Cricetulus griseus: one gene and its partner. The protein of the gene in region 1 interacts with the protein of each later gene in a biochemical or structural test. Links are inferred from orthologs where the notes say so. Each region holds a gene or a part of one and is shown on either strand. Other genes may lie near its edges.

Region 1 (3,500 bases):
AGGCCTCTGCTTCGTCAGCCAGAGATGGCGATTTGTCTCCCAGTCAGCCACCTTTAAAGAACCTCCTGTCGCTCTTAAAAGCCTACTATGCTCTGAACGCGCAGCCAAACTCAGAAGAGCTCTCAAAGATTGCAGACTCTGTGAACCTACCACTGGATGTAGTTAAGAAGTGGTTTGAAAAGATGCAAGCTGGACAGATTCCAGGGCAGTCTCCTGAGCCACCTTCTCCAGAAACGAGCACAGTAAACATCCCTGCAAAGAGCAACGAACAGCCTCAACCTACAGATGGAAGTGAGCCCCAGGAAGACAGCACGAGTGGACAGAGCCCTCTCAAGATGACTAACTCCCCAGTTTTACCAGTAGGCTCAGCCATTAATGGTTCCAGAAGTTGCACATCATCCCCGTCACCTCTAAACCTTTCCTCGGCCAGGAACCTGCAGGGTTACTTTTGTGTGGCGGATGGTGCCCAGGAGGAGCCCCAAGTGGAACCTCTTGATCTCTCACTACCAAAGCAACAGGGAGAGTTACTGGAAAGGTCGACTATCAGTAGTGTTTACCAGAACAGTGTTTATTCTGTCCAGGAAGAACCCTTGAACTTGTCTTGTGTAAAAAAGGAGCCACAAGAGGACAGCTGTGTTACAGACTCAGAACCAGTTGTAAATGTAATCCCACCAAGTGCCAACCCCATAAATATTGCTATTCCTACAGTCACTGCCCAGTTACCCACCATCGTGGCCATTGCTGACCAGAACAGTGTTCCCTGCTTACGTGCACTGGCTGCCAACAAGCAGACTATTCTGATTCCCCAGGTGGCTTATACATACTCTACTACAGTCGGCCCTGCAATGCAGGAACCACCAGTGAAGGTAATCCAGCCAAATGGAAACCAGGTTAGTAAAGTACTAGCTAACTCTTTCTAGTGACGAACCCTCCATTCACTGGAGAGTCAACCAGATTGATACAACTGTCATGTTTAAAAGGAACTTAAGCAGTTGCTTTCCTTGTGTGGCAGGATGCCTTCCTTTGCTTACTAATCTGAGGTGGAGGCATCAGCTACAGTTGAAAGTGTATTTTCCTCTGAAAAATAGTGCATAGACTTCAGCTAGAGACATACCTGAGCTTAGAAGCATAAGAGAAAAGTTATACTCATTAATTAGGTGTCTGGTTTTTTAGCTGAATTCTCAAATTGGTAAGTTTTTACTTTGTTTATGATCATTAGTAAATAATCGTGTGCCCATCTGCCATAAAACACCAGGAAGACTTTACTAGTGCATTATGTACCAACACATTTGTTAAGAGGTTTTGGTTAAACAGAGTATGCTGGGAACTTAGCCCATGCATTCATGGGCTGTAAATTAAGTGTTCAGTCATAATTACTGGGGCCAGGGGCAGGCGGGAGGGGGGGGAGGTATTGCTGTGCCCCGAGTGTGCATTTGCCTCTTTAGACAGATATTGCTTTGCTTGCTTTGTTTGAGTTTTGGATAGAACTCTACTGTATGGCTGTATGTTTCTCAAAGTCTGTCCAGAATTTTTCCATGTCACCAGCCTTTATGTCACCACCTTTTCATCAGTTTTTTTTTTTTTAAATTAAATCCAACACCAGTGGTGACTGTTTGATCTTACTGCGAGTACAGCTGTAGTTACATATGTATCCTGCTCAGATGTGCCCTGTTCCCTTTGGTGACCTTTCAATACTGTACCCATGGGCTTCCCCAGAACTGTAGTAACTCTTGAAGAAAACATCCATGTGACCAATGACATTAGATTTCTGATGTATAAAAAAAAAAAAAACTAGTGTGTATGTGAGTGTGTGTGTAATGAATACTTTCGTATGTACAGGTGTGTCTAACCATGAGTGTGCATGTAGAGGCCAGAGATTGACAATGCAGTCACTCTTATTATTTTTGAGACAGGGTTTCTCACTGAACCCATTTTGTCTAGACGGGCTGGTAGCAAGTCCTCACTATCTGCTTCTCTATACACACTCACATATACTCCAGTGGTGGGATTACAAATGAGGGGCACACGTGCCTGACTTTTACATGTGTGCTATGGATCTGCACTCACCCTTATGCTTGCAGAGCAAGCATCTTCCCCCACTTAGCCATCTTCCAGCCCTTTTGACACATTAGAATTTAAAGAAAACAATTTTTACCATTTCAAATGACTGTTGAGTCAAAGAGCTGTAAAGTGGAGTCACTTCTGCACTGGCAGCCACAGTGACAGGTGCAGATAGCTGTTTTCAGGAGATCAGTGGGTTTAGAGGCAGAACTCTGGAAGACTTTAGGAAAAACACAAAGATCTTAGCTTACCTAAGTTTGCAACAGGCCCTCTGCAGGGTTATTCCAATGAGAAGAGTGCCTTCCTCCCAAATGACTTCCCTGAAACCATCTGAGATTCTGTGTCATATTTTGTTCACTTTGTGAGAATTGTAGGGCTCTTTTTGACAGGCAGCTACTACTCCTATTTAAAAATCACAGACCCTCTTATTCCAGAGAAAGTGTGGACTAAAGCAAAGCTGTCTTTGTCAGACCAAGGCAGCCAGCGCAAAAACCTCTAGAATGGAGGACACGGTTTAAAGATATTTTCTAAACAGTGTGCCTTAGTGTTTACTGTGTGAAATACAGATTTTTTTATGAAAAGTATGGTAAATGATGAAGTTGTAAATGAATAATGAACTAGCAAGCTCAGTGGTTAAAACTTTCTGCAGAATTGCTATAAAATCATAATTTTCCAGAACCAAGTAAATGTGGCTGCTATCCCTCCAGCTTTCCTTCTTCCTCTCTTTGTCTGTTTGTAGCATGAGCTAGTGCTCCCGGGAGCCCATGTGTAGTATCATTATAGTGTGTACTTCTTGTGGTCAGGGTGATGGAAGCAACCTTCCAACATGAAGTTTATCTCCTGTGCAGCATCTGATTTCCCTACATTTGTTTATTTATGGACAGTGGAGGATCTCACATGCCACCACTCACACGTGGAGGTCAGAGGACAGCTTGTGGAAGCCAGTTCTCTCCTTCCACCATGTGGATCCCATGGATCCAGCTCAGGTCATCAGCCTTGGTGGCAAGTGCCTTTACCTGCTGAGCCATGTCACTGATCCTATCTCTTAAATCTTGAAATTTAATCTTCTTTTTTTCCCTTAGGATGAAAGGCAAGACACTAGCTCAGAAGGAGTTTCCACCGTGGAGGACCAGAATGACTCTGACTCTACGCCACCCAAAAAGAAAACTCGGAAGACAGAGAATGGAATGTATGCGTGTGACCTGTGTGACAAGATATTTCAGAAGAGCAGCTCACTGCTGAGACACAAATATGAACACACGGGTATGTCAGTGGACACGAGCACAGCCAAAACCCTGAAGCAACATCTGAAGTTCTCTCAATTACCCTTTGGTTTCCACTTCTCCAGTCTTCCTACAGGAAGTAGTGTTTAAGCCACTCCTTCTGCCTTTAATGACTTCTTTCCTACCCTGACACAGCATTTGCTCTGTGCATGTTTG
Region 2 (2,397 bases), on another chromosome or scaffold:
TACCAAACAGCTCACAATGAAGAAATTGCCAATTGTGGCCTGCTTTCATCTGAAACGGTTTGAACATTTGGGCAAACAGAGACGCAAGATTAACACTTTTATCTCATTTCCTTTGGAGCTGGACATGACACCCTTTCTGGCTTCTACTAAAGAAAGCATAATGAAAGGCCAGCCATTAGCAGACTGTGTGCCCAGTGAGAATAAGTATTCTTTGTTTGCAGTGATTAACCACCACGGAACTTTGGAAAGTGGCCATTACACCAGCTTCGTACGTCAACAAAAGGACCAGTGGTTCAGCTGTGATGATGCCATCGTCACCAAGGCTACAATGGAGGAGCTACTCTATAGTGAAGGCTATTTGCTGTTCTATCACAGGCAAGATGTAGATAAAGAATAATCATACCCAGAAGGCTTTGCAGAAAATCAAAGAGCAAGGATCCTGAATCGATACACAAGCCTACCTGGAACGGACAATTGCAATGCCATCACAACAACAAGCACCTCTTAAAGAAACACAAACATCTACCTGGAGTGAACGGTGACCATAACAAGTATATAACAAGTGACACTTTGGCATAAAGGAACTGTTTTAACTTGTTCCATAGGTCTATGAGAAGAAGACATTGAACTATCAGTGGCCATTTAGCCTTAAGAATTTGGGGGAGGGGAGGAGAGGTCAAAAAGGGTCACAAAAAAGAAATTAAGGAAATCAAGGTGGAGGGAGGTGCGGATAAATTCAAATTACTATGTGCTTTTTATTTCTTTAAAGATAATTGTGTTAAGTGGGGAAGTATCTTTTAGGAAAATGGTTTTTAATTGATTGTGTAGTTCTAGTTATGAGTGCACAAATAGTCTGAAAAAACAACCAAATATTTTAAAAAGAAAAACTTTAAAGCTTTAAAAGAAAAATTGTTAAAAACGCTTTTGAAAGTTTTAAGAGAACATTTTAAATGTCAAAATTTTAAGTTAAGTATTTTAGAAGAAATATTTTTAAATGTTTTTAATTTAAAATGATCCCAAATTGTTAGTATGTGAAAATAGAGTATTTAGAAATTCTTACAATTTAAGATGAAATATGAAAATTTATATGGTAGTTATTGAAATAAACACTTTAATTTAAAAATAGCAAAAGAAATTCTTTTAGAAACTCAGTGTTTAAAGTGAAAATGCATAGATTCTAAAATTCTAAAGCATAAAATATATGCATTGGAAAACCAATATTTACAGAAGTATGCTTATAAGAGTTTTAAATTTTTCAAAATATAGAATGAAATGAAATTTTAGTCAAAATCAGATAAAGTAGTTTAAAAGAACAACGTGTAAGGTAATTTGGGGAAACAAAAAATTGGTTTTAAATATTTCAAAAAGAGAAGCAAATTTTTAAAATATTACAAGAGAACCTTATATAAATTCAACTTCAGAGATTTCAGTATAATAGCAAATTTTAAGTTTCAAAAGAATATTCACAAATTGACAACTGAAAAAAGAATATGTAAATAAGAACGTACTTGAAAGTTGAAAATTTTATTTTGTACTTAAGTATATTGAAATATAGATGGATATAAAAGTTATAAATGAAAGATAATGGTAAGACAAAAATGGTTTGTGAACATATGTATTTTTTTAGTTTTATGTCAATGCAGAGTTAACTATATTGGAAAAAAGTGATAACATCAAGATTTTTCCCATTTAGAACTCATTATTCATATACATCCTTAGCTTCTGAATGGGGCCTTTTAGTAATTTTGTGGCTTAGAGAAATTAGTTCCTAACTGTGAAGTTCTGGCTTTTGGTGTTTAAGCCCCATGATCTGACTGAGAAAGTGGCAGGGAGTTCCATGTCTGAGAAACTCCTAAACTCCCTGCTTTCAGTCTTTTGCCTCATGGGGAAGCAAGATCTTTAATTTCTGCAGTAGAACTCTGGCTTTGTGTTTTAACAGCCCTGCTAACTCCTATCCCTCTTCATGCCCATCCCATCCCCATTCCTGATTCCCTGAGTCCCTCATTTACCTAGCCTTACCTAGATCGATATAACCCCAGCCTGCAAGGATCCTTTCTTAATTATACACTTGGTGACTTCATTCCTCTAAGACCAACTCAGAGATGACTTCTCTGGAGCATTCCCTGGATCCCCTATGCAGGCATAAAGTAGATAATTGCCCCCCTTCTCTCCTATTGTGCCTCCAAAGTACTTTGTCTATACCTCGATAAATAGTACTTATTCAACTGTGATTCTACTGTAGCTTCGTGAATGTCTGCCTCTCTGCACCAGGTCCTGAGAGCAGAGGGACAAGCCTTATTCACTTTTGTGTTAATAAATGTTTGTTGAATGCAAAAGTAAGTTTCATTGTTTTCTCTGTTTACCCTGTTAAGAATATTTTTTACACACGTGTAGCAC

The links.
Region 2: the proteins of Zeb1 (region 1) and ubiquitin carboxyl-terminal hydrolase 51 form a complex in vitro, tested with the Homo sapiens proteins (2 studies listed by BioGRID). The link is inferred for Cricetulus griseus from reciprocal best matches to the Homo sapiens genes ZEB1 and USP51.

The regions. Positions count from the first base shown.
Region 1 is NC_048596.1:208,641,057-208,644,556, reverse strand, and holds part of Zeb1 (zinc finger E-box-binding homeobox 1), read left to right. Parts: coding exon 1-890; intron 891-3,143; coding exon 3,144-3,324; intron 3,325-3,500. UniProt on the Homo sapiens protein: Acts as a transcriptional repressor. Inhibits interleukin-2 (IL-2) gene expression. Enhances or represses the promoter activity of the ATP1A1 gene depending on the quantity of cDNA and on the cell type.
Region 2 is NC_048604.1:110,911,854-110,914,250, forward strand, and holds the end of ubiquitin carboxyl-terminal hydrolase 51, read left to right. Parts: coding exon 1-397; 3' UTR 398-2,336; downstream 2,337-2,397.